Linked DNA regions of Macaca mulatta. The protein of the gene in region 2 interacts with the protein of the main gene of each other region in a biochemical or structural test. Links are inferred from orthologs where the notes say so. Each region holds a gene or a part of one and is shown on either strand. Other genes may lie near its edges.

Evidence for each region.
Region 1: the proteins of PTTG1 (region 2) and ANAPC2 form a complex in vitro, tested with the Homo sapiens proteins (2 studies listed by BioGRID, with this or other methods). The link is inferred for Macaca mulatta from reciprocal best matches to the Homo sapiens genes PTTG1 and ANAPC2.
Region 3: the proteins of PTTG1 (region 2) and CDC27 form a complex in vitro, tested with the Homo sapiens proteins (3 studies listed by BioGRID). The link is inferred for Macaca mulatta from reciprocal best matches to the Homo sapiens genes PTTG1 and CDC27.
Region 4: of the proteins of PTTG1 (region 2) and ANAPC11, one has a biochemical effect on the other in vitro, tested with the Homo sapiens proteins (3 studies listed by BioGRID). The link is inferred for Macaca mulatta from reciprocal best matches to the Homo sapiens genes PTTG1 and ANAPC11.

What each region holds. Positions count from the first base shown.
Region 1 is NC_133420.1:5,263,326-5,271,550, reverse strand, and holds the start of ANAPC2 (anaphase-promoting complex subunit 2), read right to left. Parts: upstream 4,194-8,225; 5' UTR 4,176-4,193; coding exon 4,059-4,175; intron 3,747-4,058; coding exon 3,124-3,746; intron 1,828-3,123; coding exon 1,695-1,827; intron 508-1,694; coding exon 333-507; intron 1-332. Other genes in the region: microtubule nucleation factor SSNA1, read left to right, coding at 4,369-4,420, 4,710-4,909, 5,435-5,542; TPRN (taperin), read right to left, coding at 7,710-7,772, 7,857-7,963, 8,052-8,225. UniProt on the Homo sapiens protein: Together with the RING-H2 protein ANAPC11, constitutes the catalytic component of the anaphase promoting complex/cyclosome (APC/C), a cell cycle-regulated E3 ubiquitin ligase that controls progression through mitosis and the G1 phase of the cell cycle.
Region 2 is NC_133411.1:169,275,893-169,284,142, forward strand, and holds the start of PTTG1 (securin), read left to right. Parts: upstream 1-3,838; 5' UTR 3,839-3,906; intron 3,907-4,289; 5' UTR 4,290-4,300; coding exon 4,301-4,391; intron 4,392-4,701; coding exon 4,702-4,886; intron 4,887-6,148; coding exon 6,149-6,242; intron 6,243-8,250. UniProt on the Homo sapiens protein: Regulatory protein, which plays a central role in chromosome stability, in the p53/TP53 pathway, and DNA repair. Probably acts by blocking the action of key proteins.
Region 3 is NC_133421.1:71,403,653-71,410,983, reverse strand, and holds the end of CDC27 (cell division cycle protein 27 homolog), read left to right. Parts: intron 1-1,424; coding exon 1,425-1,499; intron 1,500-2,756; coding exon of another isoform or gene 2,757-2,775; coding exon 2,776-2,932; intron 2,933-4,348; coding exon 4,349-4,431; 3' UTR 4,432-4,786; downstream 4,787-7,331. UniProt on the Homo sapiens protein: Component of the anaphase promoting complex/cyclosome (APC/C), a cell cycle-regulated E3 ubiquitin ligase that controls progression through mitosis and the G1 phase of the cell cycle.
Region 4 is NC_133421.1:91,558,464-91,565,664, reverse strand, and holds the end of ANAPC11 (anaphase-promoting complex subunit 11), read right to left. Parts: intron 6,913-7,201; exon of another isoform or gene 6,723-6,912; intron 6,643-6,722; exon of another isoform or gene 6,404-6,642; intron 2,519-6,403; coding exon 2,373-2,518; 3' UTR 2,240-2,372; downstream 1-2,239. Other genes in the region: NPB (neuropeptide B precursor), read right to left, coding at 1-171. UniProt on the Homo sapiens protein: Together with the cullin protein ANAPC2, constitutes the catalytic component of the anaphase promoting complex/cyclosome (APC/C), a cell cycle-regulated E3 ubiquitin ligase that controls progression through mitosis and the G1 phase of the cell cycle.

The DNA.
Region 1 (8,225 bases), on a different chromosome or scaffold from region 2:
CCCCCGGACACTTCGGCGTGCTGATGCATTTGACCACAATGCCACAGGGTGGACAGAGCAACACCCAGGGGCCAGTCCCCAGCAAGAGCCAAGAACAAGGGAGCATAGCAGTGGACACCTAGAAGCACCGTCCAGCATCTGCCACACCTGCCCTGATCCAGGCATAGGGGACACCCACGGTGGGGAGGGTCCCAGCCCTGCCCGGTGCACCCCCCTGCAAGAGCGACAGCGAAGGCACGGGGAGCCCAGACGCAGACACAGAGGAGACGCGGCGAAGGCCCTGGGAAGGCTCCCCAGACAGGAGAGAGGACCCGAGGCCGGGGCGGGACAACCTCGGATGATGCTGAAGAGCTCCTCGATGCGCAGGCTGGCGTAGATGCGGTAGAAGAACCTCTGCACGTGGCAGCGCCAGCGGCGCAGGGTGTTGCCAGCCTCAGGAGACGCAGGCCTGGCGGGGCCGTCCTGCAGGAACACCTTGCCGAGCCAGCCGACCACCCGCTCGATCCACTGTCGGGAGAACGCTAGCGTGAGCTGTAGGAAGGCACGGTGAGCCCCAGGCTGACTCACAGGCTGGGAGGAGCCTCGCAGCCACCCACTGTGTCGGCCAGGACCAAGGGGAGCCCGAAGGCCACCTGTGTCTGGAGGCGGAAGCACATCAAAACCTGCAGGGTGGGTGATGGCCCAAAAGGCAATGTCCCGGCCCCCCTCTGGTCTTCATGCCTCTCACACGCACCAGTGCCCACACTTATCACTGGCAACAGCAGCCCTAGCATAAGACGTGATGGACACACATGGCCTGTGCGCTGTGCCTGGCGGGCACATTTGCCCCCACTTAAATGGATAAACACGCTCTTGAGACCAAACATGTGACCAGCCCCCACTCCCCCGCCATGCAGATGACACCGTACATCGCAAGAGCGTCTCTGAGTGAGCACAAACCCCTAGACGGCAATTCCACCGCGGGGTCCCAGGCGTGCACACATCCCACAGACCTGCTACCCAGTAACAAGACCGCACAGATGTTCACCCTCTCCACCCGACTGCCCACTCTTGCCCACCGCTGCGGGGACGCCCTCTCTCTCTGAAAGCCTGACATCACAGCCAATCTGCACCTCAGTAGGTGGACTCCGAAGCACTGAGGAAAGGACAGGTGACATGTGGGAACAGGGTAGGGGGACCCACAGGGGTGGGCCCAGCTCCCCTATGGCCCTGGGAGCCCAGAGCAGAGCCCCAGACCACACCCCAACAGTGCAGAGGCCTGGAGGCCCCATGTGAGGGTGTCTCGCCCCCGCTGTGGTGCAGGCCGGCTGTAGGTCAGTCCATGAGGGACCGGCCAAGCAAGTCCACACTCAAGTAGGGCAGCAAACAGGAGAAGGGGGTCCATTCACTGGCCCTTCTGGTGGGCCTGGCTTCGTCACACCTGCCTGGGGCAGCCCCTGGGGACCCTGGCCCGGTATTGACTGCAGCCATGGGATTCTGAGCAGATCTGGTGAGCGCACCTCAGACGTGTCCTCGCTGTCACCAGGGCCCAGAAGTACTGGTCTCTACCCGACATCAAAACAGCTCCAGCCACCACCCGGTCCAGGCCAACCCAGGCCTCCACGCTCTGGATGCTTCCAAAGCCAGGTGTCAGGTTGGCCAGAAACCTACTCCCCTGTCCCCAGCGGGGCACAGCCCAAAGGAGGGGCCCTCACCTTGTGGAACTCACGCAGGAAGGAGCGCTCGTACTCGCCTCGGCAACGGTCCTCCATCCTCTCCCGGGTCACCTGGTGTAGGGTGGTGGTCACAGCCTCGGCACTGACCCGCTCCAGCAGACTGAGCCTGTGTCTAGAGGAGAGTCCTAGCCATGGGGCACCCACAGCACACACCGGCCCCTCTAGCCCAGAACAGCCCCATGCCAGGACGGTCCTGCCTGTAGAGTGCATGCAGCACACACACGCACACCCCCACAACCAGCACGCACCTCCCCACAATCCTCAGCTGTGGGGGCCACTGTGCCTGCCAGCCCCGAACCAGGGCCTCTGCGACCCCTGAGGAATTTCCAGGCAGCCATGTCAAGGTCCTCAATCCAACACATTCTCCACTGAACAGCCCTGGGGAGTGTCTGTTCCTTGTCAGGGGAAAGGCCAGGACAGCACAGAGCCACTCTCCTTGCCTGGTTGGCCTGGAGCGCTGGTACCAAAGGCTTCAAGAAGCCACTCGGAGCACAGAGCACTCCCAGGCTCTGCTGTCCCCACCCAGCTGGCCTCTGTCCAGGTAGGGACACTGGACTTCCCCATGTGATCAGTGGCAGCAGGTGTGGCTGTCAGGGGCCCTACCCTTATCTCCTAGGATCAACTCTGAAACGACACCCAGTTGCACCGCTGCCCTGGCCCCAGAGACACAGATGCCACTGTTTGTGCCTTTCAGTGCAGTCTGTGGTCTACAGTGGCAAAAAGACTCCAGAGGAGAATGAGAAAGGTTGCTGTGTAACTTTTGCTGGGATGAGCCCAACAGAAGCCCCTCATGGTCACCCTGACCTCTGCCAGCAACAGGACCACTCCTTTAGTCCACCTAAGACCTCTCAAATAGCTGCGTGGCCATACCTCTGTTCAATGTGACAAAGCCACCACAAATGGCCGAGGGTGTGACAATTGCTAGAGGACTACAACAGGACCTGTCTCTCACAACAAAACCCTCTCCTCTCCAGAGAACCAGACAGGAGACCACTTGCCCTCACAGTGACCTGATCTCCCTGGAGAGAAGCAGCAGCAGGCTTCTGTTCACAATTACGGGGCAAGGAATGTCGACGAGGGTGAGAATCATTCCTTGCCTCAGGGTCGACAAAAGTCACAGTGGAATTCTGCAGAGTTCAGAAAGTTTGGAGTCGCTAAGAAATTTGCTGCTGCAGACAAAAGCCACATAGGGCCTTACCACGGGCAAGGCATGAATCCGTGGGACTGCAGGTGAGTGACAGAAGAGAGACACCTGTGTCCAGGACACACTGCACAGGAACCCCAGGGACTCTCTCTCTGTCATGTTCCTGGTTATCAGGACGGCTCACCAGCTTTCTGCAGAGGCCAGCTGGACCCAGGGGAGCAACCAGTAGGAGCGAGAGCACGGCCATCAGGACAGACTACTCACAAGACCTGGCTGAGCTGATGGAACTGCTCCAGAGCCTGGCGACACCAGCACTGTTGCTTGTCACTGCTGCACCCTGCGCACAGCGGGCTCTGCAGGAGCCGGTAGTACCGGCGACGGGCATACCGGCTGTCCAGCTCCCCCTCCAGTTCCGGGTCTGTGCCCCCTTCCCCCTTCCTCTTACTCTGCATATAGACTCTCAAGAAGCACCCATACAGACGCTGGATCATCTCTTGGAAGGTTCTGGGGGTACTAAAGAACAAGACTCCGCGCAACATAGTGTGGACTTTTTCTCGCAGCCCCTGAGCACCAGTGCCCATCAGCAAGCCCAGGCGAGTCCATTTCTCCAGCAGCTCTAGGCTACGCAGGTAGGGATCCAGGCGGCTCTCCAGCAGGCCAAAAGCGTCAAGGAGCAGCAGAAGGCACTGGGGCTCATCCGTAGAGTTCTCGCATTGGGAGATGGCATTCCAGAACTCAGGGGAGATGTTGGCCTGCAGATCGTTCTGCAGCACCTCTACGAACCACTCCTCCAGGACCGAGTGCAGGCCGTGGCCCCTCAGAACCTCCACCGCCGCCCGGAGCTCCTCTTCCTTTGGCGGGACTGCACCGCTGGTCCGGGAAGACACCTGGAGCGCAGAAAACCGTGAAGCGAGGGGAACACAACATAGAGGTGGGGAGAGGCGGGGAAGGGAAGAAGCTGAGGGGTAGGCTGCAAAAACTCCGCTGCCCCCTGTCCGTGGTGTCCGGACGTTGGGCCGAAACTAGGGAAGGGCTGCCAGCGGAGCTGAACGAAATGAAGTGGAATGGCGGTGGAAAGCGGCAGGACAGGCCAGAGGCGGATGACGGACAGAGCTGTATGAACCCGAAGGTGGCCGCCCCAAAGTGCATAGGGTCCCGGAAACTCCGCGCGGGGCCGCCGCTCTCTTCCCAGGCCTCACCAGCCCCAGCGCAGCTGGCGGCACCAGGCCGGTGCTCACGGTATTCCAGGCCACTAACAACTCCTGTCCGGGCCGGGAGTCGCTGTCCCCCTCCGCCACCACAACTGCCGCCGCCATCTGCAGCCACCGGCTCCGAGATCCCCTCGGCACGGCGCAAAGCGATGACGCAAGTCTGCACGCGCAGCCATGACGCGCACAAGGCGCTCAGCGATGACGCGTAGTTCGGCGCGCCGTCAGGGAGTCGTGCGCAGGCGCGGACAGCGCTGGTTCCGCGTCGGTTGGGGTGGCGGGGCCCCGGGCGGCGTAGACCATGACCCAGCAGGGCGCGGCGCTGCAGAACTACAACAACGAGCTGGTCAAGTGTGAGCGGCGCAGCCGGGACGGGGAGGTCGGGAGGGCCGCAGGGCCGGGTTCCCGGCTCGCAGCGGGGTGCCCCTGGACCCGCCTAGTTGCGGGCATCGCGCAGCTGAGCAGAGCCCTCCGTGCCGGGGGCTGGGTGTCCGTGGCCCCGAGCCCTCGTTGGCTCGCAGGCCCCGCGCCGGGTGCTCGGGGGTGGTGCCTGACTCTGGCTTCCTCGGGTGGAAGGAGGCCCGCCCTCCGCCGCCGCGCTCCTGCCCTGGGCCCACAGCCCCGCCCCTCCCGGCCCCCCAGGCATAGAGGAGCTGTGCCAGAAGCGGGAAGAGCTGTGCCGGCAGATCCAGGAGGAGGAGGACGAGAAGCAGCGGCTGCAGAATGAGGTGAGGCAGCTGACGGAGAAGCTGGCCCGCGTCAACGAGAACCTGGCACGCAAGATTGCCTCTCGCAACGAGTTCGACCGGACCATCGCGGAGACGGAGGCCGCCTACCTCAAGGTGGAGCTCGGGAGGCCAGGCGGAGCATCAGGGGATAGCCGCGGCAGGGGTGTAGCCGCGGCAGGGCGTCAGGACCGTCTGGGGCTCCCAGCTGTGGGCAGTCTGTGCCTCGCTGGCATGTCGGGCAGGAGCAGCGTGGCCAGGCCCATTGAGGAACCCAGGCTGCTGCGGGAGTGACCGTGGGGCTGTCTGGGGGACCTGGGGCATCCTGGGTCCTGGTCTTCATCCGGTTCTCGCTAGCCATGTGGTTCTTTTTGCTTAGAGTGTGAAGAGCCACGTCTTGGGCCAGTGCTAACCCAGCCTGGCTTTGAGGGTGGGGAGGAAGTGTTCCGGGTCAGATTCAGGAGGGAAGAGGGCCCTGTTACCCCGTCTGCCAGTCCCCTTGGGCTTCCGCCTTCCCCCGCACAGGATCCCTTGGCTACAGCACCCACAGCCAGGTCCCAGAACCTGAGTGTGAGGACAGCTGGGGCTTAGGAACTTCCCAGCAGGTGAACAGTAACAACTTTCTCACTTCTCTGGCCCCAGATTCTGGAGAGCTCCCAGACTTTGCTCAGCGTCCTCAAGAGGGAAGCTGGGAACCTGACCAAGGCTACAGCCTCAGACCAGAAAAGTAGCGGTGGCAGGGACAGCTGACCAGACCACGGGCAGGGCCTGCCTCTGTGCGCCCCTCAGCTCAGCCCCGACAAGTCTGTCCTCAGAGCGTCTTTGTTCTTCACAGCAGCAGCTGCCTTCCCTCACTGTCCCCGGTGCCGAGAGGGGCGGCTGCCAGCCTCTACTGGCATCATTGACAAGCCAGGGCACAGCCCACCCAGGGGCTTCGTGCTCACACGGGCTGTGGGGATGGTGGGTTCCAGGTCAGCTCTGCAAAGGGCCTGTCTCTGTGGCACCCACACTCCTGCCCTGCTGGGGAGGCCCTGGTTGTCTGAGCACCATGGGGGCCCCCTCAGCTTGTCCCTCCTCAGCCAGCAGAGGCCCAGGGCAGGGGACAGGGGTTCTCCTTCACCCCAGAACCCAAACCTCAGGGCTCACCCCTGTGGCCTGTGATTATCAATAAAGATTATCTTTGTAAAGGTCCGTGCCAGCCTGCTGCTTGCCCGTGTCAACAGTGTGGGGCTGCCAGACACCCGCAGAGCCAGAGCCTGAGGCTCCCCCTTGGGAAAGGAGGGAGGAGGCGTCTGGAGTGGTCTCCCTATGACTGCCCAACTAGCCTCAGGGACACCGCTGAGGGTGCCCACCCTGCCCAGGCCAGCGCCACCCTCGGCCCTCCCCAGCAGGGCCGCTGGTCCTCTTCCCCTGACTGGCCCACGGCTCACCCTCCTCTCAGCTCTGCTCGCTCGTCCTGTTCTCTGCCACACCCTGGTGTCCAGCATAGGACCCAGCCCAGAGAGACAGCTAGGGATGCCAAGCATATCTAGCAGCTGCCTCAGACTCAGGTCTCTCTCAGCAAGGACTGGGGGGCTTCACACCCCCTACCCCCACCAGTTCCTCCTTGCAAGTCCTGCTTGGCCTGATGACACCACTGCTGCCACCAGGCCCTGCTGCCCCTTTCCCTGGCCGCATGCCAAGCACTGGCCACCTCCATCCTTCTGCGTGCCCTGGGGCCTCTGTTCTGTCCCTGCAGCAACCAAGCACTGCCTGAGGACTGGGCCTATTTGGGAAGCGTGTGTTGATCCAGAGGGTCCAGAAAAGAGCTGGGCCCACCCCCCAACCAGGGAAATACACCAAACTCTCCCACCGGAGTCTGGCCAGACAGCAGCGCTTTGCTCTATGGTTTGGTTCTCCAGGGAGGAAACGGGGCTTGGGTTCAGAGGGTTGTAAACAGCCCCAGATCTGGCTGCCCGGGCAGGTGCTGATCCCCACTTGCCTCATCCTGTGGGGGTCAGGGGGCACGCCAAGCCCAGCAGGAGACACTGTACCCTGTGCTGCCCTCATGCTGCCCTTCCCTTGGTCCCTCCACAGGCTCTGGGCCCCTCAGAGAAGTCACTTCAGGCCCAACAGCTGCAACACTCACCCTCCCACCTGAAGTCTAGGCCCCTGACAGCAGGCCTGGCATCCTACCTCCCACAGTGCCAGCTCTGGGAGGCTGGGGTGGAGGGGCAACAGGTTAACAGGCCGTAGAAGTTGGGGGGTCAGAGCCTTGGCCACTGGGACATCAAGGAGTGGGGGTACCAGACTGGGGTCCCCTCCCACACACCCTGGCACAGACGTGCAAGCTGGGGCCCACTGGACCCCATGTGGCCTCTTACTGCAGAGACCTGCCCCTGCTCCCCTCTCAGCCAAGGACCACGCAGTGGGGATGCCAGCAGCCTTGTCCAGTGCTGTTTATTGAGTCCATCGTCAGAGGCAGGAAAGATGCCACTCATCACAGAGGGCATGGGGGCTGCGGGCAGGGGCTTAGGGTCCTGCAGAGGACAAGTAGCTGGGACAGCCCTTCACCCCAGACCCCCCATGGCCGCTGGGAGGCAGGCTGAGGAGACAGGACAGGGAACTGCCAGGTGTAGAATCTGCACAGTCCCCTGCCGGGTTGCAGATGGCCACCACCCAGCAGACCCCTGACCTCACCCACAGGCAGTTCCCCACCCCACTCCCCGCCTGGGCCCTCCCAAACCAGGGCCGGGGAGTGAGACCCAGACCTGGTCCCAATGGCAGGAGGCACCCTGGCTGCTTCCAAGGCCAGGAGGGGTGGGTGGAATACGGTGAGACCAGACAAGGCAGAAGTGGGTGCAGTAGTCCCTGGCTACTGCCCAGCTTCCGGGACTCCCACAGCTGGGGCTCAGCCTTGGTCCTGGCAGTGCTGGGCTCAGAAATAAAGGGCTGGCTCGCTGCGGAAGTCCGAGAGGTCATTCTGACTGGCAGGTGTGAGCTGAAAGTGAGAGAACAGAATGTGGACACATGGGCTCGCCCAGGCTTCAGACTCCCCGAAGCGCTCCCCTCCCCTGCAGCTCACCATGGCCTCTGCGGGCGGGGGCTCTGCCTCCCTCGGGGCCTGCTCTAGTGCCTGCTCCTGCCACTTGCTGAAGGCCACAGAGTGCTTCGGGGTGTAGCTGGACAGGCCTGTGAACGGAGATGCACACGTGGACATGTGGACACAGACCAGGCTCCACCCCGCCCAGGCTGCCTGTCCCCCTAGGTGGGCACCCACCTGAGCTGCCCTCTGGCAGCCGAGAGCTCTCGGGTCTCACGCTGCTCACAAACGTGGCCCGGGGCAGGAAGAGTGCAAAGGGCTTCTCCTCTGAGCCGGAACCCTCTTCCTCCTCTTCCTCTTCCTCCTCCTCCTCCTCCTCCTCCTCCTCATGCTCCACCTCTTCCTCCTGTG
Region 2 (8,250 bases):
TCCCAGTGGAAAGTGCTCAATGCCTGGGGGTCTACGATGCTTCTCAAAGGTGTTCTCTTCTCCTGTGTCTGACCTATAGAAAATCTCCCCATATATTTGTGTAACATATAAACTGATGGCCTGAATATACTGCGAAGAGAAGCAGAACAAAGGTAAATTTAATAATCTTCATTAAAACAGCTACCATTTCTTGAGCCTACCGTGCATCACCTCATCTAATCTTCACAATAAGCCCAGTAGATAGGTCTGATGAACCCCATTTTACAGGGAAGAAACAGGTTCTGAGAGGTAAGATCCTCAGCCAAGAGCATATTGTAGTAAGAAACAAGGACTTCAAACACAAGTCTGACTCCAGAGTCAGTTCTCTAAAAACAGTATGTTATACTCTGTCCATAGAACATTGGCTTCTGGGCCTGAAATATTAAAAACTAAAACTGAATGAAGTAATATAGTCACCAAGTTGTACTCACTCGTTTCCGTCGCTGTGAAGGGGCCTATTTTCTTCAACTAAAAACAGTAATAGCTCTCACTTACTGAGGGCTTACCGTAAGACAGTGTTTAGAGATTTACTTATATAGATGTTTTCACTTATATCCGCATGATACCCCACTGAAGTCAGATCATCTCGACTTAACAGGAAAAACTGAAGCTTAAGTAAATTTTTCTGGCGAGGAAATACAGTCTATCAAATTGGGTACTGGAAGCAGCTTTCCCCGCTCGCAGTCCGGGGATCGCTCAGGGTCTTCAAGGCCACCGCCACAAAGGTGACACTCTCATAGTTATCCCGACTGTTTCCCTGAAGACGCAGGCCTGGTCTGGCTGGGCACGAGTGCCATCAATGGGGCTCAGGACAGTGGCTTCCTTTTCGGTCCGCCGTCCTCGCTCCCTCCTCAACAACTGAGGGCTCATTACCCCCGTGAGGACATATCCAATAATTAGGAGCCTTCGACCCATTTTCTCAGGTTCCCCAATTCCCCTTCGCCCGAAAGTTCTAAAAATATTTTCTTACCCAGTCCCGCCGCAGCTGGTCTCAAGTCCATCCGAGACAAGCCAATCTCGTAATGTTTACTTCCGGCTTTTCGCCTCATTCCGGCGGCCACTGCGGTAACTTCCGGACGATCGGCACATGCGCACTAATTTCCTGGTGGGACGCGGGAGGAGTGGAGGCCTTTGGTCCTCTTGCGCCGTGGGAATCGCGAGAACTCTAGCTGTGCTTATCGCGCTATTTACCCGGCTTGTGGAGAGATTCAAGTTGGGCGGGTTCTTTTAGCTTCTATTTAGGAACTTTCTTTTAGAATCGGAGAATTTTAGGAAGTTAAAAAAAAAAAAACCAAAACAGACAAGAGCTTAAGCCTCACCAGGGGGCTGTGAAATGAATGCAGAATTTGGTGATGTATCAGCTTAAAAAAAAAAAAAAAGGCAGTTAAACTTGGCAGTAACTAGTAGCCAGGCTGTGTAACATGCTGGGGATCTGGTGAACACAGTGTCTTCCCTCAAATTTACATCAGAGTGCGAAAGACACCGAAACAACTATTCAGGTAATTTAGCAGTTGTAAAAGTTGCTATGAAAGGAATACCGGGTGCTGTAAGAACATAAGGCACGTTATCATTAGGAAAAAACACGACGATTTCCATTTTGGAGAAACATTAGTATCTATGCTATCCCATCCCTTCTTTAAAAGTATACATGTGAAATAAAATACTGGAAAATAAACTAATTTTCGTAGTAGAATTTCTTGTGATTTTTTTTTCTTTGTGCTTTCTATTCTGGTTGTTCTCCCCCTCCCCCCCCATAACGTGTATCGTTTTTGAATGTAAAAGTTAAAATAGCTACCATTCCTGCCTCAATAAAATAGCCCAACATAATAGAATCTATTTTTTTCGTATTAACAATTTGCAATACCTGGAGTTTAGGAGCATAAATATTAATTCTGCTTTTACAGGGCAGTAGATGAAGAAACAGAGACTGGCGTGAAAGTGAGTAGAGTCTATAAATCACTCAGGCTTTGTTTTTTTCCACTTAAAAACATTCCTGAAATTTGCTTAGGAGTGTTAAGGTCTAATTAGCCAAAACCACCAGGAGAGCACATCTCGAAGAAGAATCAGAAAGCCCAGGACAAGAGAGTTGAATCTTTTCTAAGACTTGAGGTCCCTCTGGAGGATTCTGAGGAAGGTCTAGGAAAGCCGGGATTGGTTCTGGATGGGTTGCTGTTTGTAAAGCAGGATTAGGAGAAACTGATTAGGGACTAAGTGCTGTTATGAGTGAGGGTGGTTTAGCAATTGAGTATTTTCAGTAATAGTAATAGCAAAGCTGGTCTGAGGGCATCATTAGTAAGAAAACAGTGGTTATTCAAAGAGAGGGTGGTTATGGTTTACAGCTGATGCATGGCCTTGGGAGAAACAATGCTTTCTGTTGGTGAAACAAAGAAGACATCCTAAGGAGATAAACCTTGCACCCCAAAACTTCTGTAGATAGAGAATCCCCACTTCGAAGCTATAGGTGTTGTAAAGATTTAGTCTCAAAAATTAACACTTTGAGTGCTGATAATATAATATGATGATGTAAAATTTAGGAGATACAGGAGGAAATAAGGGGTGGGAATAAAGGAAAGAGAGCAGTGAAGGGACAATAAAGGTATGCATATTTTTATGTCTTTCCTCTTTTCTTCACCTTAAGTTAGGCTCTTTTCTTCTTGATACCTAGTATAAAGTCCACCATTTAATAGGTATTCAATAAATATTTGTGAATGAATGAATCATTCAATCAATATTGGTCCTGAAATGCCAGGGAAGAAGAGATGATGAACTGGCATATATTGAGAACCATGTCTATGTCAGGTATAGTGTTAAGCCTTTTGTGAAAGAGTAATATGGAATCAACTCCTCTCTCTCAGCTGATCTGCAGGTATAAAATGTATATATGGTGACCTGTGGGAAGCCGAGTTTGAATGACACAGGTCAGCCCTATCTTTTGAATGTATACCTTTATCTTGTGGTTGTTCAGTGTATTCCATTTTACTATAGAAACAGGAAAAGGTCGTCAACTTTTTCAAGCAAAATTTCTTTTCATATCTGGGAAACTGGAATTCCTTTTTTATATCTTTATTATCTCTCTGATGTTCTCTTGCTCCCTGGCCAAGCTCTTCCAGACAGCTTTGGTTAGTGTATTATTGAGATCTTAGAGGTTTAAAATAAATCAGTATTAAATGATAGGATTTTAAGGGAAGACTAAATTATGTATTCATTAGAATCATAATTTTGTTCCTAAAACAGATTCGTGATGGTATAACAGAAACAGCATCTTAGCCTGAAGTATTGAGGATAATCCTCAGATTAGGGAATGATTAGTTCGTTCTTAATCATAAGCATAAGAGAATGACTCAAACGCTGCTGTTTGATCTATCTGTACTTAAATTTCTTCTTAATTTTAAATTTTTCTCTCCTAGTATTCTTTAGACCCAACGTTGGTTGTTTCGACCATTTCTACAATATTTCTATTTATTTTCCATCCTTTCTACGGTGCCATTTAAATAAATATATCTTAAAGCAATAAAACATTGTTATTGAGTCAGTACCACAGTCCATGCAGCTTAATAATATGGAGAGCAAAAAAAAAGCCTCTCAATTTTTTTTTAAAATATTACACGACCCTAGATTTTTTTCCCCAGAAAACGTGCCACAAAGTTTGCAAGAAAGAGCTTTTGGGGCGGAGTCCTGGCTGCTTAGGTCCCTTCCATTGGTTCGGCTTGGTGACCACGCCCCCGACCCCGCCTCTTGAGCGGAAGAGCCAATTGGGCCGCGAGTTGTGGTTTAAACCGGGAGTGCGCCGCGTCCGTTCACCGCCGCCTTAGACGAATGTAGCTGTTGGAAGCTGCGTGAGTGAACTGGAGGGTTGCGGCTGGTTAGGTGAGCGTGGTCGGGTGGGGAAGGAGGCGGGCTGGGGCTGGGCTGGGGCTGAAGCTGGGGCTGGGGCTGGGGTTGGGGGACTGCCTGGGGCGTAGATGGCTCCGAGCCTGTTTGAGCGCGGTCTCGGACTGCGAACTGGACCCACGGCAATTCTCTGAAGAGTGCCAGCCCCAAACCGCCTGCTCCTTGGGACCTTAGAGCCTCTGACTCAGGCTGGAAGATTTGAGAGCTGGATTAAGTACTTGTTGGCTCACGCCCGTGACTGTCCCGCTGTTTAGCTCTTGTTTTTGTGTGGACATCCCTAGGATAAAAACTTTGGTATGTTGCTATACCTTTGCTTCTCCCACCTTCCCCAGTATCTAATATGTATTTCTCATTTTTAGAATAATCCAGAATGGCTACTCTAATCTATGTTGATAAGGAAAATGGAGAACCAGGCACCCGTGTGGCTGCTAAGGATGGGCTGAAGTTGGGGTCTGGACCTTGTAAGTACACAAGGCTGCAGTCGGATACACTGCTATTGTGTACGTGGCCTGGAGCTGGACGAGACATTTAGTGTACTTTTTGGGCAAATGGAGTCAAGTCTGTTATTGGTCCTTTTTCATTTTCAGTATCTTAATGAGATGATTTATGGGAGTACTGAATCTCAGCTATTAGGCCTATCGTAGCCATACCACTACCAATAATGGGGGGTGGGTTTGGGGGTGAGAGTTAGGTCAAGTTTACATACACAGTATTCAAGTTGTACAGGTATTTTGCTGCTGGAATATTCTTATAGTAAGACTTTTTCTTCAGCAATCAAAGCCTTAGATGGGAGATCTCAAGTTTCAACACCACGTTTTGGCAAAACGTTCGATGCTCCACCAGCCTTACCTAAAGCTACAAGAAAGGCTTTGGGAACCGTCAACAGAGCTACAGAAAAGTCTGTAAAGACCAAGGGACCCCTCAAACAAAAACAGCCAAACTTTTCTGCCAAAAAGGTAAGTGTTGGCTATAAAGACACTGTTTAAACACTTAAGCGCTTTTGACTCTTAAAATGACGATTGGCATCATCCTACCCAGCTTTCTTCCCTCTGAGTAGAAGGGAGATAGAGGTTAGCAAGCAGAGTAGTGGAGGAAACTCAGATTGTCCTTGTGGACCTCTTGGTGCCTTGAGATTGGAAATCTCAGATGCAGCTAATGCATATTTGTCCCTCACCTGTCCTTAACTAGTGTCTTAAAACTGGTTGGTGGTATCTACTTACAGATACGTACTGAGCGAGAGGGTGCCTTAAGAGGTTCTGTTGCTGCTATAATAGCACAGGTGTTGCCATTCTCCGCCTAGCCTTCCAGGGCAAGCAGCAGCTTGTTAGGTGACAATTTGCTAGCATGTTGATGTTTGTGTGAGTGTGGGTCACAAGCTACAGGTCTGTGTATCCCAGACTGAGAGCACTTTGCTGTGAAAGATGACGTTAGCATGAGGATTAACACTTTATTTGAATAACTGTTTTGTTTAATTTGCATTAGGAAACAACTGGTGAATTACATGTAGTGCAACTTAGGACAAGGATGTCTTTTTAAAAAAGTGAATTAACTTAAAAATATTAAATACAGGAATTGCAAAGATATGGCAAAAACAATGAGACACAGAACCGAAGTGTGGGAACCCCATAGGGAGTTCTAGGCATGCTTATGTGAGGTGAGATAAATCAGGAATATGCCGGCTTCCATTGTAGCACCCTTCTGTAGTAGACTGTAGTAGACCCGTCAACTCCAGACTAGGAGATTGCCCATGGCGTTTTTCTAAAGTCCTTGACAGTGTCTTGCTGCCTCTTACTCAGTGTATTTGAGGAACACAAACTTGTTTTTAATATTAACCAAGTACATAATTAGGTAACACTTGCAGAAAAATCACACTCCTATAAGCCAAAAATGGCTTTGATGATTAGCTACTATCCTGGGTGATTCATGCCCGTTTTCTCCTCTGTTAGGTTGAATAATTGCGTTGATTAGCTCTGAATTAACTCTGCATTCTTGATAACTTACGCTGACAGGTGCTGGTACTTACATTTCAGATTTTAACTTTTGAGTCATGCTACTCGAATTACATTTGAATCATATTATTTGAAGTATATTTAGGTGTAATTATGAAAACTAAGGATTATGGCTTCTTAGAAGGCAGCATGAAATTGACAAATTTAAAAACTAATCAGCTAATAAGACATCCACTCTCACTAACCCATATTTTCTTTGGCTGTTCTAGATGACTGAGAAGACTGTTAAAACAAAAAGTTCTGTTCCTGCCTCAGACGATGCCTATCCAGAAATAGAAAAATTCTTTCCCTTCAATCCTCTAGGTAGTATCTTTTGTAATTGCAAAAAGTGCTTTTGGCCTTTAGTTTCTTAGTATTCAGCTCAGCTGTAACTTGATATGAATATAATATATGACCAAAAACTATAATGAGACTGTCTGAATCTGGGTCGTTTTGGACAAATGTACTTGTTGATGGAATTATTTGCAAGGTATCATCTTAGATCAGGAGGGGAATAGGAACAAAGATACAGAAGACATTGTTCCTGTCTGTAAAAGCTTATCACCTAGAGGAGGTAAGATGTATTCATGAATATTGAATAAGTCCCATTGTGGACAGTCTTTCTCACAAGCCTTTTAGAAAGTGAGCTTTATGTCAATGCCTGAGAGTGCTTTGGTAGGATTATTTCTTTGGTTAGAAAAATCTACATAAGACAGTGAAGACGTGTTTTTCAAATTTCTTCAACCTGCTACATGTATCTGAAGTATTTTCTGTTTTGGAAACAGCTTTTCAAGCTTTAATTTACTCAGCCATTTGAGGAGAAGCCACTGTGTGTCAGGCATCGCTAGGTGCTGGACACACTGTTTAACAAGATGGGCCCTGCCTATGGGAGCCCACAATTTGAAGGGAAAGTCAGATGCTGGACAAGCCATCTCACTGTGAGTGTGAGCCGGAAAAAAGAGCATTGTAGGTCAAAGTGGTGCAAAGATCCTGAGGTAGGAAAAGGGACTGAAGTGGTTCTAGGAAAAATACAGGCACGGTGAAGGAGGATACAGGTGAGGTGTGGGGGCAGATCAGGGAGGGCCTTACAGATTTCTGAGCTGGATCTTTTACCCTTTTATTTAGCCAAAGAGGTCATGTAGTTATTCTTTTACTAATTTGCATTCAGATTGTTCTGGCTTTTAGAAACTAGAAACATTTCTACGATTAGTATTCTTGAAATGATCTCGTTGCAAGTTTGTGAGTACATCAGGAGGGAAACTGAGAAGGATTGCTGGGTTCGAGGGTTTGTGTGATTAAGTTTTAAAATTATAAAATGTGGTGCATCGTGCTAATAATTATCATTCAGCCATTGGGAAAAATGAGGTAGATTTATGCATATTGATCAAGAATGAAGACCACAGTATCCTGTGTTAGAGGAAAGAGATATTGCTAAGTGGCCCTTCAAAATAGTGTAAATTGTTAAATCCATCTACAGTGGATGAAGATGGCTGCTTCCTCCATGTTCACTATCAATGTTTTAAAACTCTAATCTTTATCAGAAAAGAAATATTTTATTGTTTTAAATTTGTGTGGTGAGCATATTTGATTATTGGCCACTTAGTTTTTCTTTTATTAACTTCCTGTTTGTGTTTTTCTTTGATTAAAGAGCTCTTTGTAGATAAAATTAGCTCCCCTTAGATTGCAGACTTCTTTCCTCTGGAGTCTTTTGTCTGTTTATGATTTCCTTTACAATTCAGTAGTTTTAAGCTAAATAGTCACATATCATTCAATTCTTTCTTGACTTCTGGGTTTTACCAGGCTTGAAAAAGAGCAGACTAATTCTTGAGTACTTAGGCTTTAGAGAACTTTCATACCTAAGGACAAAGATTTAGAAATTAAAACTGAAAAACTTAAGATATTCACTAAGTAATCACATTACATTAATGTAAATTTTTTTTAACATAAAATATTTGTTTTGGAAAAGTTTTGAGAAGAATGGCATGGTTTCTATTTTTGAAAAATATATGAAGAAAACCTGACCTCACACAGATATGTTTTTAATAGTCTTTTCAGATAAGCGTGGATAGTTTTCTTTGCCACTACACTAAAACCCACAAGTGGCTGTTTCTGAATATATAATTGCAATGTGGAATCTGAAAGCATATCAATGAGCATTTTGTATCTTGACAGTAAAATCCATCGGTCTGTTTTGCACTTGGAGTGTATCTTTTATTCTTGCATCTATCTTGCATTGAGCATTCAGAAATATTGATTCACTGAGATATGTAGATACTCATATGTTGAGATTATATAATATCAAAAGCACATTAATATCACAACTGATCTCATC
Region 3 (7,331 bases), on a different chromosome or scaffold from region 2:
AATACAAGACAAGGCCGGGCGCGGTGGCTCAAGCCTGTAATCCCAGCACTTTGGGAGGCCGAGACGGGCGGATCACGAGGTCAGGAGATCGAGACCATCCTGGCTGACACGGTGAAACCCCGTCTCTACTAAAAAATACAAAAACTTAGCCGGGCGAGGTGGCGGGCGCCTGTAGTCCCAGCTACTCGGGAGGCTGAGGCAGGAGAATGGCGTAAACCCGGGAGGCGGAGCTTGCAGTGAGCTGAGATCTGGCCACTGCACTCCAGCCTGGGCGACAGAGCGAGACTCCGTCTCAAAAAAAAAAAAAAAAAAAATACAAGACAAAATTAGCCAGGAATTACAGGTAAGCATCTGTAATCCCAGCTACTTAGGAGACTGAGGCAGGAGAATCACTTGAACCCAGGAAGCAGAGGTTGCAGTGAGCAGAGATCGCACCACCGCACTCCAGCCTGGGTGACAGAATGACAGTCTGTCTCAGAAAAAGAAAAAGATTTCTTTAATGATTCTCAGAAGTGGTCTGGGAACTTCTGGGGGTCCCTAAAATTATTCTAAAGAGTCTTAGAGGTCAGAGCTATTTTTACAATAATGTCTTGACATTATTTACCTTTTTCAGTCTTCATTCTGTCCCAAATGGACAGTAGAATTTTCCAAAAGCTACATAATATGTGATATCAAAACAGATTAAATGGAGGAGATAGATGTGAGAATCTAGCTGTCTTCTACTAACAGAGACTTGCAGAAATGTTAATGCCACTCTTCTCAATGACTTTTTGTTGTTCTGAAAAATTATATAGTTATTTTTCATTAAAAAATAAATCACTGGGCCAGGCACGGTGGCTCACGCTTGTAATCCCAGCACTTTGGGAAGCTGAGGCGGGCAGATTACTTGGGTCAGGAGTTCAAGACCAGCCTGGCTGACATGGTGAAACCCCGTCTCTACTGAAAATACACAAATTAGCTGGGTGTGGTGGTGCATGCCTGTGATCCCAGTTACTCGGGAGGCTGAGGCAGGAGAATTGCTTGAATCTGAGAAGCAGATTGCAGTAAGCAGAGATTGTACCACTGCACTCCAGCCTGGGCGACAGCGAGACTCCTTCTCAATAAATAAAAATAAATAGATAGATAGATAGATGACCAAAAGCAAGGATTGTCACCACCTGCATATTTCACAAAGAGGGGTGTGTGTGTGTGTGTGTCTGTGTGTGTGTGTGTTTTCAGTGTACTAGAGTGCCTGCTATTTCTTAGTACTTACTTTAAGTATGCGTTTTATTTTCACAACAATAAGAACTAATACAATAAGGAAGTATATTGATTAAGATTTAGTTAGCTTTTATGAAGGTGATTTGGGAAATCAAATAAAAAAATTGCTTGGTCAAAACTTTAAAAATTTTTGATACTTTAAGGTTTTTCTTTGCCTTTTTCAGTCTGCTTTACAAGAACTTGAAGAATTGAAACAAATTGTTCCCAAAGAATCCCTCGTTTACTTCTTAATAGGAAAGGTAAAGACTGGGGCCGTGGTCCCAAACAGTGACTTTCACAGCAAATATTGACATTTTATAAGAATAAATTTAATACTTACTGTACAATATCTATTGAGCAAATTCAACTAAAGCTCCAAACTGAGTGCTCTGGGAATAACAGATTTGGTTCTAACACTTGAGAAAATGATATCCTAGCTGGGCACGGTGCCTCACGCCTGTAATCCCAGCACTTTGGGAGGCCTAGGCAGGTGGATTACCTGAGTCAGGAGTTTAAGACCAGCCTGACCAACATGGTGAAACCCGACCTCTACTAAAAATACAAAAATTAGCTGGGCGTAGTGACTCATGCCTGTGATCACAGCTACTCCGGATGCTGAGGCACGAGAATCACTTGAACCCGGGAGCGGAGGTTGCCGTGAGCCAAGATCACGCTGCTGCACTCCAGCCTGGGCAAGAGAACAAGATTCTGTCTCAGAAACAAAAAAAAAAGAGAAAGAAGAAGAAGAACATGAATGGCACTGTGTTGTCTTGATTAAGAGAAATGGCTTCTGAGAGTCCCAAGGCCAGACTAGTCAGTTTTTTACAGACTAGACCCCCATATGCCAATTAGTTAAGGTGCCTGTAGACAGTTGTTAAGAGTTGATATAACTCAATTTAAAATCACTGTAAATGAAAGTTAATTAAGCAATTTATAATCCATTTAATCCCATTATCATTGTTCCAGTCAGAGTGATATTTATTGGAAACTTACTACCTGAAAGATAGAAGCAAGGAATTCTGAAAATAATATCTGATTATATGAAAAGGAACTCAAAAGCTGGTATGAGTTCATCTGTAGGAAGAAAATGTCCTACCGTTAGAATAAGTTTAGATCACATAAATCAGGAGCCTAGTTTAAATTATAAATATTTAGAACTGTAGAGACTGGGCACTGTGGCTCACGCCTGTAATCCCAGCACTCTTTGGGAGGCTGAGGCAGGTGGATCACCTGAGGTCAGGAGTTTGAGACTAGCCTGGCTAACATGGCAAAACCCTGTCTCTACTTATAAATACAAAAATTAGCCAGGAGCAGTGGCGGGCACCTGTAGTCCCAATTACTCAGGAGACTAAAGCAGGAGAATTGCTTGAACCTGGGAGGCAGAGGTTGCAGTGAGCCAAGATCGCGCCATTGCACTCTAGCCTGGGCAATAGAGCAAGACTCCATCTCAAAAATAAATAAATATATAAATATTTAGAATTTTATAGTTGAAGCTCACAACTTAATGAAAAATGTAGTATTGCTGTTTATTTTTAGGTTTACAAGAAGTTAGGTCAAACGCACCTCGCCCTGATGAATTTCTCTTGGGCTATGGATTTAGATCCTAAAGGAGCCAATAACCAGATTAAAGAGGCAATTGATAAGCGCTATCTTCCAGATGATGAGGAGCCAATAACCCAAGAAGAACAGATCAGTAAGTATCACACATATGATTTTGAGTATTTAGAAAGTTACCTTTTGCATAAGGATTTGTAGGCTACTCCTTTATTTTATTTTTCTAACCGTGGTGTTACCAAATGAACTTTTAGGGAAATTGAACAGGGTGATATAATAACAAAATGCATATAAAGTCAGATAATTAGTCTCTGTTCTGGATCTAGTTTGCTGTGTGACTTTGATAAATTCATTGCTAATTTTTACCTGGGCCTCAATTTATGTTTGAATATGTAACCAGTAGTGTTTTATTTGCTTCCTAAGAATGTAGTCTTTTAAATAAGAGAATAGAGAAATTTCTGACAAGGTAAATTCTGATTAGATGCCTTTGTTCCAGAAAACTTGGTGAAAACCTTTAATTAAAATTATAAGCCACGGGGCCAGGCACAGTGACTCAGGCCTGTAATTCCAGCACTTTGGGAGGCGGAGGTGGGTGTATCACCTGAGGTCAGGAGATCGACACCAGCTGACCAACATGGTAAAACCCCATCTCTACTAAAAATACAAAAGTTAGCTGGGCATGGTGGCAGGCACCTGTAATCCCAGCTACTCGGGAGGCTGAGACAGGAGAATCGCTTGAACCCAGGAGGCTGAAGTTGCAGTGAGCTGAAGTCATGCCATTGCACTCCAACCTGGATAACAAGAATGAAACTCTGTCTCAAAAAAAAAAAAAATTATAAGCCAGGCATGATGGCTTGTGTATGTAATCCCAGCTACTCAGGAGGCTGAGGTGGGAGGATTGCTTGAGCCTAGGATTTCACGACGAGCCAGTGAGACCCTGCTTCTAAACAAATTTTTTAAATTAGCTGGATGTGGTGGTATGCATCTATAGTCCCAGCTACTTGGGAGACTGAGGCAGGAGAATCATACCACTTGAGCCCAGGAGTTTGAGGCTGCAGTGAGCTATGATTGTGCCACTTCACTCCAGCCTAGGTGACAGACCGAGATAGATGATTGATTGATTAATAGATAGATAGATAGATAGACCCCATAAACCTTTTGAAACTGAAGGTTATAGTCTATGTTTCTGTGGACTAGCAGGAAGTATTCTTAAAGTGGAGTCAGTGATTGGAGGTTGGGGAAATGTCAATTTTTTTTTTTTTTAATGTCTCAGAGAACTAGCTAGTTGTAATTCCTAGGGCAGGAATAAGGAACCCATTAGGGAGAGGCAGTTTTGGTAGTTAAAACCTTAAAAGTAAAATGCAGTAAGCTAATGTCAGACCTATTACAAAGTTAGGAAACTTGAGTTGCATTTTATTAAAGGATATGAGGATTTTTAAGGGCCTTTATTTAGGGTTTTATCTCTCTGAATATAATACAATTTTTCTTGTTTTCGTGAACCAACAGGATATGTTTGTCAGAAACCTTACTGTAGACTTTTGTTTTATTTTTAAAGTGGGAACAGATGAATCCCAGGAGAGCAGCATGACAGATGCGGATGACACACAACTTCATGCAGCTGAAAGTGATGAATTTTAACTTCTGGAAATCGGACTTTTACAACTGGATGTGTGACTAGTGCTGACATGTTTCTTGTCCCTCCATATACTGAGTCTTTACTCTTGAGCCGGCGGTGTCATCATCCATCACTTATACCATGAGTGTGCCACTTTCATTGGACCCTGACTGTATACGGAATGAAAGGCAGTGCAATATTTAGCTGCTAACAAGACTGGCTCTTTTACCAGTATGAATGACAATTTATGGGGGGTAGGGTGGGGACTTTCTTTTCTGTTTTTCTTTAATCTCCCTTTGTTGGAAAGTATCATGAAAGGAAGAGTTATGTTTTATCTTGAAGGAACCATTAGATATGGAAAATAGTGATGAACCAGAATTTCTTGGTTGCTTTCTCAAAAATTTGTTTTTATTTGGTTCTGTTCCTGATAAACAGAGTAACTGACCGTCATTTCTAGGTTCTTCAAGAATGGTGTTTGCAAGTGCCAGATGGAACAATAAAAGACGTTGCCTATAACAGTAACTTGATTGCCAAGGAATGTAAATTACCTTCAACTTGCAGTGTCTCCCATAAACAAATGTAATGGGCATATTGGGATTCGTATGTAGGAATCAAATATCCCTCCATACAGTGTACACTTATTCTTGGCAAGAATGCTTTAATGTCTAACCAAGAATTTTAATTTATTCATCTTGCTTCAAAGTGTTGATCATTGTTGTCTTGGTATTGCAGACTTTAAAATTGGTTCATACCATATTGCCTCTTCTCTTTGAGCTCTGTGGGATCACCTTTAACATTCAGAGATGATAGAGTGGTTCCCCACTGAGAAGCCAAAACAAGGCCCTTAATAATCCCTTAAGTTCACCATATCAATCAGAATGAGAACACTAAAGTGTAGAGACTTTAAGAGATCATGATAGTGAAAGCCTTAATATAATCAGAATTGTACCATAACCTTGAATCTATATTTGTTCAAAACATTATCCCTTTGACTTTTCTAAGTGTTTGCTTAAGCAGAGTGTAAGAATGTGCGGTTATCTTTGGTTGAGATCCTTTCCATTCTTTTTGACTCTCTGCTTCAGATTTTTTCAGTAGTGTGAGTCACCAAAACATTTACTAAGAATTGGGTTTAGGATATTGGAAATTTTTAGCTTGGGGGAAGAAACATTCTTAAGAAGGAGATAGGTTCTCTTCTGAGTTTGTCATAATATCAGTTGGTGTCTTTGGGAAATGGCCACAATTTTAAGAATTTAATTATGCATATAAATTGATAATTATTGGAATTCCACCATAACAGATTTAAACAGTCTTAAATTGTTTATCTCCTTTATTGTAATGTATTGAAATTTTAGAGAAACTTTAGTTGTTAACATTTTATTAAGTGCCAATGTCAGAATATAACAAATTATAGTTTCTTATGAATGACAGGCCTACAGTTATTATTTTGGATTATTTGATGAAGGACAACCTTACCTGTATTTGTTAGTCAAGCTGTGAAAATAAGGTGGATTACAAAAGATGTGAAAAAAATTTTAGCCTGTAGACTCAGTAATTTTCTATAATTTACTGTTAATCTCATTTGAATATGGATTAGGTACAATTATAAATTAATTCAAGTCAGGGTGTTTAGGTATCAGGTGCCAGAGAAATATTTAACAGATTTCCCTACCTAAATTTATGTATATGTACTGTCTAAAAAAATACTTTTTAAAAAAAAGGAACAGTTGGGAGAAAATAAATGTAATGAAAAATTCCCAGAGGCTAGCACTTGGATTCTAACACATATGCTATTGTATTATCCATTAGTTCTGTAATATGTAATTTTAGATTCTTTTATATTTTTAATTGGCAAAGCACAAGGTGCTGTGTAACAGTGTCATTTAGAGTTTTATAGAAAGCTTCAACCTGAGTTCTGCGTTATAAAGCCTGGAGAAAGCTAAGCTTAGAACATAATTTGCTGAAGTATAATTATCTTTTTATAGTAGGAATTTATGTCCTGTGCCAGAGGTGAGAGTCTTTCTGGTACTGATTTTTTGAGACCAAGGATAAAAGGATCGTTTTGTAAGACACGCCATGGCAATGGCTGGCTGGGGAACAGTTTCCGCCCAAGCTTGGCCTATTTTATTTTTCCTCATACCTACTTTTAAAGTCATTAGGTATCTGAAGCCTTATTTCCCACCTTGTAACACTTTCTGGCTTTTACAGTTTCTTTTTTTGTTTTGTTTTTTGCATGGAATGGGGATCAAACAACCAGAAGAAGAACACATTTTGATCAAGCAAAATGTTTGTTTCAAACATCAGAAGTTTATTTTACAGAAATTAAATTAAGTAGTTTGACATCCTTTTCTCTGTTTCACACATATATTAGGTTGGTGCATAAGTAATTGTGGTTTTTGCCATGACTTTTATGGCAAAACCTGCAGTTACTTTTGCACCAACCTAATACATATATATGCACACACACTTGTTCAGAAGCTATGCTGTGGCCTTGGATTTGTTTTTCCCCTTGGAAATGGTTCTTAACTCTGGGATTTTAGAAGGTTAGAATATTTTTTCAAGAGAACAGTGGTACTCAAAATAATGAAAGGTGGTCCCTACATTTTCTGTATTCATCACTTAAAATTTTTGATTTTTCCAAGAACTACAAGTAACATTTGAACCATGCTGCTGTTGTACCTTAAACAAAAACTCAGTGATAACCAGTATTTAGTCTATTAAAAATGCTCTTTTTGAAGAAAAAAGTTTGGAAGTCTCTGATTAGCCAGAGTATAGTATGAGTCTTCACTGAGAAATATGGTGACCCATTTTCTTTGTGAAAACCTGGGAAAATGCAAGTGTGGGTGTGAAGTGTGTGTTCTGTTTGCATTGAAACAATGTAATTTTGTGTCTTCTTTTTGCTTTAACTGACTTATTTCAGAAATTG
Region 4 (7,201 bases), on a different chromosome or scaffold from region 2:
CTGGGAGCGCCGCGCGTACGGGGACCTGCGGAAGCCGGACAGCAGCCCCGCGGCGCGGCCCACGGAGTAGGAGCTGCGCCCCGCCGCCGGCTTGTACCACGCGAGGCCGGGCGGCGCTAGCAGCAGGCACAGCGCCAGGGCGGCGGCTGCCAGTGTCGCGGGCCGGGCCATGGGGACGCGGGCGGGCGGGCGGCGGCGTCGGGGCTCGGAGCAGCCACCGCCTGGGCCGCCTTATATCTGCGGCGGGGGCGGGCCGAGGCTGCGGGGGGCCGGGAGGGGCGGCGGGCGGGCTGGGGGTGCAGCCGGCGCGCGCGGAGGACCCGTCGCACCTGCGCAGCCCAGAGGAACCAGCCGCACGGGTGAGCGCCCGAGGCGCGCGGGGATCTGCCGCTTGGTCGGAGCCCGACGCCCCCTCAAGCTCCCCACCCACGCCGCTCGCGTCCTTCAGGCCCGGCCTGCGTGGGCCTCAGTGGGAGCAGGGGAGGGCCCACGGGCGCTCAGCGCTAGGAGTCGTCCCCCAGGAAGTCCCCAGTACTCCTGAGGCGGGAGAGCCAGCCACACTGCACAGTGCCCAGGGGGCGGTTTTTCCCACCCTGAGGGGTATTCTTGGCTCCAGGCATCAGAGTCCTTGTGGCTTGTGGGGCCCTCATTTCTTTCATGCCCTTCGGGGAAGGTTCCACCAGCAGGGCTGCTACTGACGGGGTGCTCTGGGAGCGGGGCAAGGTCAGGCACTGACCTCAGGAAAGCCACACCAAGGCACTGGGGCTCCACGATTCCTGGAGGCCCCTCTCTGCCAGCTCTGCCCCTGGAAGGGCACCAGGCAGGACTGCCAGCCGCTCTCTTGGCAGGTGACATCCGCCTTCAGGCTCACTGTGCCCTCACCATTTCATGCTCCCCCAAGGTCCTGGTCACGTCTTCTTTTGGATATCTCGCCAGGACAGGCACTGGCACTGGGGCCCTGGTACTTGTTTCTGGGTTCCGTGCTTCCCAGGTGTGATGGTGAATACTGAGGGTTATTTTGATGGGATCGAAGGATGCAAAGTATTGTCCCTGGTGTGTCCGCGAGGGTGTTGCCAGAGGAGATTCCCATTTGAGTCAGTGGCTGGGAGAGGCAGACCCACCCTCAATCCAGGTGGGCACCACCTAATCAGCTGTCAGCACAGCCAGAGGACAAGCAGGCAGAGGAACGTGGAGAGACCAGACTGGCTGAGTGCGGCCTCCATCTCTCTCCCGTGCTGGATGCTTCCTGCCCTCGAACATCAGACTCCAAGTTCTTCAGCTTTCGGACTCTTGGACCCACACCAGTGGCTTGCCGGGGGCTCTCTGCCCTTTGGCCACAGCCGTGGGCTTCTCTACTTCTGTTTTGGGACTCAGACTGGCTTCCTTGCTCCTCATCTTGCAGATGGCTTATTGTGCGACTTCATCTTGTGATAGTGAGTCAATGCTCCCAATAAACTCTTCATATACACTCTTCATATAGAGAGTCCTGTCTCTCCAGGGAATCTGACACAGATTTCAGGGGAGGCCTGGTCTACTCCCCAGGGTGCTGTGAGGAAGGAAGTGTCAACAGGCTCACACTGGGCACAGGACATTGGCCCCATGAATGCCAAGGGCTCCCCAGGTTACTAGAGATACAGCCTGCGCTCTGTCCAGAAGCAGCCTGAGACCCCAGGGCTGCCGCTCCCCCAGTGGCCCCTTCCCACAATTGTGGGGAGCACAGGAGCCTCCCAGGGCCACCCTTTCGTAGGCAGGGAAGCCTCAGACATGTGTGGACACACTTCCCAGTGTCAGGACACCGATCCCTACACTGTGGGAGGCCCAGCTCCACCGAGGAGCTGCAGACAGTCCCAGTGAGAACACGGACGCCTGCTTAGAGATGGTGGCCTTCAGTCTGGGGGTACCACAAGCAGCAGCTGCCAGCTGTGCACAGCCAGAGTCCCTCAGAGCCAGCCCGAGGGAGGGTCCAGGGCCGCCCGGCCATCCAGCAGGCAAGAGCATGCCTCAGGCCCTACCGTCTGATCCCGCTCCTTCTCCTCCCAGCTGTGACTCAGGGTTTGATGAGTGCCTTGACAGCGTTTCACGAAGATGTTTATTCATGAGAGTTTTCATATCAAAACACACCGAGACCGCATCAATATGCTGAGAACACAGGCACCCAGCGGCCTCCAGCAAGATTTGAGTAGTTTAATGAGTTTTTACTTATTGGATAAAAGTGTCAACATAGTGATGGGAAAACAAACGCAGCTCCAGCCCTTGTTTCCACCTTGTTACAGCCCAGGGGCGCTGTCCCCAGCAGCAGCTACCGCAGCCATCAGCGCCAGCATGAGGAAGGGGCCGCGGGACACCCCCTCCAGCGAGGGCCAGGCCGGGCCTCACTCCTTGAACTTCCATTCCTGGCGACACATGGGGCAGTGCTGCTGCACCTGCTGCGCGTGCAGCCACTTGAGGATGCAGTGCATGTGGAAGCAGTGGGAGCACTGGCCCCACACCAGCGGGCAGTCGTCGCCAGGCACCTTGCCTACAGAGGGGAGGCGGGGAAAAGGACAGGCATGACCAGGCTGGACACAGAGCATGTGACAAGCCAGGCAGGGGTGCAGGTTGGGACCCTGGGCAGTGGCTCCAGCCCTGCAGCCTCTCATGTTTCACAGAAGCCGAAATCAGGAGAGTTACCCAATCGGTCTCCTGACCAGCCTGCCCCCAGGCGAAGACCAGCAACTATGCCAGACATGAGGCCTCCACCCCAGGCAACCACGCCCAGGCTCAGGCTCATCATGCTCAGCGGGGAGCCCAGGGACCCTGCTGAGGAGGCAGCATCCGGGAGGAGGCACTCTGGTCTAGACCACTGTCCCGTGCTTGAGGCTGGGGAAAAAGGGCAACGTCTGACCTACAGGCCCTGAGCCCACCTGCAGACACTTGATCTGTGATGCCAAAAAGGTCACATGAATGGTCAAGGCACCAAGGAGACACACATCTGAGTAGTGAACTGGTCTCTTGATCAAGGGCATGAGGGGTGGGGCTTGGGGACCTAGAAGACCCTTCCCTAGACTTCAGGAATCCGGGGTGCCGCCCAGGCACTGGGGACGCCATGTTGATGGGCCCTGCCTCCCAGGACAGGCACAGGCTGCGGGCACCAGCCCAAACACCTAGAAATGCTTTCTCCATGGAGAGGGCCTGACAGAGAGGGATACTCATATAAGCCATGATCAAGAGAAACAAGTGTCCCTGATCTCCAAGAGCCTGGAAAACCCCATGAAACAGCTGCTGCCAGCAAAGCACAGCAAGTCCCAGCCCCAGCCCCGTGGCAGGGTCGGTCTGGCATTGTGGAGCTGGAGCTCGTGGCCGCCCTCCTGTCCTGGCGGCACCGGCCCCACAGCATGCCCACTCCCAGCCCTGGGAGGACCTGCCCATGGGGGCTTTCTAGCCTCAGCACAACTCTGCTTGAAATCACCCCTTTCAAATGAGAGCGAAGCCTGCGAGCCCCCTGAGGAGAGGGTCTGAGTGCGCAGGAGAGGCCCCGTTAGACAAAGGTGCCGCTTGGTTCTCGTGCGTTCCCCACCCGAAGCTGGCCTGGGGTGTCTGATGAGTCCGCAGATGCACTGAGGCTGACTCATTCAAGGACCTGCTGATCTCCTGATTGCATTTCTTTAAATTAAAACTCCTCTCCGCAAAACTGCATTGCCACAAGAGTCCTCTGGGATGCGGGATAGACTCACTGTTTACCAGCCTCGGGCTCCCACGGTCTTTGTTGAACTTAGCCACTCTGAATTTTTCAAAGGAGTTCAATTTTAGCAAAAGAAACCTGGTGCTGCTTAGCCCAGAAGCACATTAGACTTGTCAAACGCTTTGCACGTTAACACTGACTCACTATAACTTAACCATCAGCAGGTCCAAAAATCAGACTCTCAACTCCTTAGTGTGCAGCCAACAGGCCCCATTTTAACAAAGTCTGAGCGCACTGTGCCAGTGGAGAGATGCTGAGAGTTCAGGGTAGCACCCCTCTGGATGTCCCATCACAGGCCCAGCTGGCATGGTGCAGGCCGGGCTCTGCAGGCTGCCTGTGGACCCTCCACTGCAGTCAGTCGGGGGCTGCCTAGTGCCGCCTCTAATCCACAGGATTCACCACCCACATCTGGCCCACAGATGCAGCCAGACTAGGCGTGGACACATGGTTTGGAGGAATTTCAGAAGTTAACCTGCTGCTCCAGAAGTTGAGTGACTGCCCTCAGAGCACCCCGTGCTGTCTTTGTTACATCCTTAAGAGCAATTTAAAAGGGATCAAATAAAACCATGCCTTGTGAATGCCTAGTTATTAACCTAATTAGCTATTAAGTACAAATCCAATCAGGCAGAGTCAATCAATAATTTCCTAATATTACACCCTACCCATTTGATTAAATGAGGATTAATTCCTGAATAATAAGATTTCTGTTTAGCTAGAGCCAATGTAAAAGTTAAGCCTAGAATAACAAGTATTTGTACTGGCCAGGCACCACCCCTATAATCCCAGCACTCTGGGAGGCTGTGGCAGGACAGAGTCAAGAGTTTGAGACCAGCCTGGGAAATACAGTGAGACTCCATTTCCACACAAAAAAAAAATAAAAATAAAAATAAAAATTTATATAGTTTTGTTCAGGCATGGTGGCTCACGTCTGTAATCCCGGCACTTTGCTAGGCCAAGGCAGGCAGATCCCTTGAGCCCAGGAGTTCAAGACTAGCCTTGGCAACACAGCAAAACCCTGTCTCTACAAAAAATTAAAAAACAAATTAGCCAGGCATTGTGGAGCCTGCCTACAGTCCCAGCTACTTGAGAGGCTGAGGTGGGAGAATCACTTGAGCCCAGGAATTGAAGGCTACAGTGAGCTATGATTTTGCCACTGCACTGCTGCCTGGGTGACAGAGCAAGACCTTGTCTCAAAAAAAAAAAAAAATTGTACTAAGATTCAGTCATTTCAACTTCACCTAAAGAAGCAAAGACAGGGGTGGGCGCGGTGGCTCAAGCCTGTAATCCCAGCACTTTGGGAGGCCGAGGCGGGCGGATCACAAGGTCAGGAGATCGAGACCACAGTGAAACCCCGTCTCTACTAAAAATACAAAAAATTAGCCGGGTGCAGTGGCGGGCGCCTGTAGTCCCAGCTACTCGGGAGGCTGAGGCAGGAGAATGGCGGGAACCCGGGAGGCGGAACTTGCAGTGAGCCGAGATCGCGCCACTGCACTCCAGCCTGGGCGGCAGAGCGAGACTCCGTCTCAAAAAAAAAAAAAGAAGCAAAGACAGGGGTGGGCGCAGTGGCTCACACCTGTAATCCCAGTACTTTGGGAGGCCGAGGTGGACGGATCACCTGAGGTCAGGAGTTTGAGACCAGCCTGGCCAACGTGGTAAAACCTTATCTCTGCTAAAAATATAACAAATTAGCTGGCTGTGGTGGTGTGCGCCTGTAATTCCAGCTACTTGGGAGGCTGAGGCTGGAGAATCCCTTGAACTCAGAAGGGTGGGTGTTGCGGTGAGCTGAGATGGTGCCACTGTACTCCAGCCTGGGCAACAGGGCAAGACTCTATCTCAAAAAAAGAAGAAAAAAAAAAGCAAAGCCAGATGAGTGTGGTGGTATGCTACTTGCAAGGCTGAGGCAGTGAGATTGCTGAAGTTCAAGTCCAGCTTGGGCAACATAGTGAGACCCTGTCAATCAATATGGGCATATACCTGGCCCCACAAAAATACGCCTGGTTACTTGGGATAGTAGGGAGCTTCTCGGTCCTCCCCATTCCCCGCTGTCCTCTCCATTGCCCACTGTCCTCGGGGGAGTTCTTCTTGTCCTCCCTGGGCAAAACCTTGACCCTTGCTTCTGCTTTACGTTCATTTTGGTCTCATGAAAAACCATTTTGCTGATACAAAACTCTGCTTTCAACCTAAATGTAATCAAACTTTTTTTTTTTTTTTTTTTGAGACGGAGTTTCACTCTTGTTGCCCAGGCTGGAGTGCAATGGTGCGATCTTGGCTCACCACAACCTCCACCTCCTAAGTTCAAGCGATTCTCTTGCCTCAGCCTCCTGAGGAGCTGGGATTACAGGCATGCGCCACCATGCTCGGCTACTTTTTTGTATTTTTAGTAGAGACGAGGTTTTATCATGTTGGCCAGGCTGGTCTCAAATTCCTGACCTCAGGTGATCCGTCCACCTTGGCCTCCCAAAGTGCTGGGATTACAGGCGCCTGCCACCATGCCTGGCTAATTTTTTTTTATTTTTAGTAGAGACAGGGTTTTGCCATGTTGGCCAGGCTGGTCTCGAACTCCTGGCCTGAAGCAATCCGCCTGCCTTGGCCTCCCAAAGTGTTGGGATTATAGGCGTGAGCCACTGCACCTAGCTTATACCATTCAATTTTGAGAATTTTCAAATAAAAAGTTTAAACTAATCTTTTTTTTTTTTTTTTTTGAGACGGAGTCTTGCTCTTGGCTCATGGCAACCTCCGTCTCCCAGACTGAAGCGATTCTCCGGCCTCATCCTCCCCAGTAGCTGGGATTACAGGCACGCGCCACATGCCCAGCTAATTTTTGTATTTTTAGTAGAGATGGCATTTCACCATGTTGGCCAGGATGGTCTCCTGACCTTGAGATCTGCCTCCCTCAGCCTCCCACAGTGCTGGGATGACAGGTGTAGGCCACCACACCCTGCCTCGAGCTCTTGACCCTGTGATCTGCCTGCTTCGGCCTCCCACAGTGCTGGGATGACAGGCGTGAGCCACCGTGCCGGCCTCGATCTCTTGACCTTGTGATCCGCCCACCTTGGCCTCCCACAATGCTGGAATGACAGGTGTAGGCCGCCCGCCTGGCCTCTAATCCCTTTTTAATCCCACGTATTTCACAGCTGAGTTTCATGCTATCAAGTCTGTGCAGGATCTTTATACAAACATGAGTCCCAACCACCTGGCTTTTTTTCTATCAACTTTTCTTCATGAAATGACAATGAAAATGTTGGGGGGGTGCAGTGGCTCATGCCTGTAATCCCATCACTTTGGGAGGCTGAAGCAGGTGAATCACCTGAGGTTGACAGTTTGAGACCAGCCTAACATGAGAAACCCCGTCTTTACTGAAAAATACAGAATTAACCGAGTGTAGTGGCGCACGCCTGTGATCCCAGGTACTCAGGAGGCTGGGGCAGAAGAATCGCTTGAGCCCAGGACGCAGAGGTTGCAGTAAGCCGAGATTGCGCC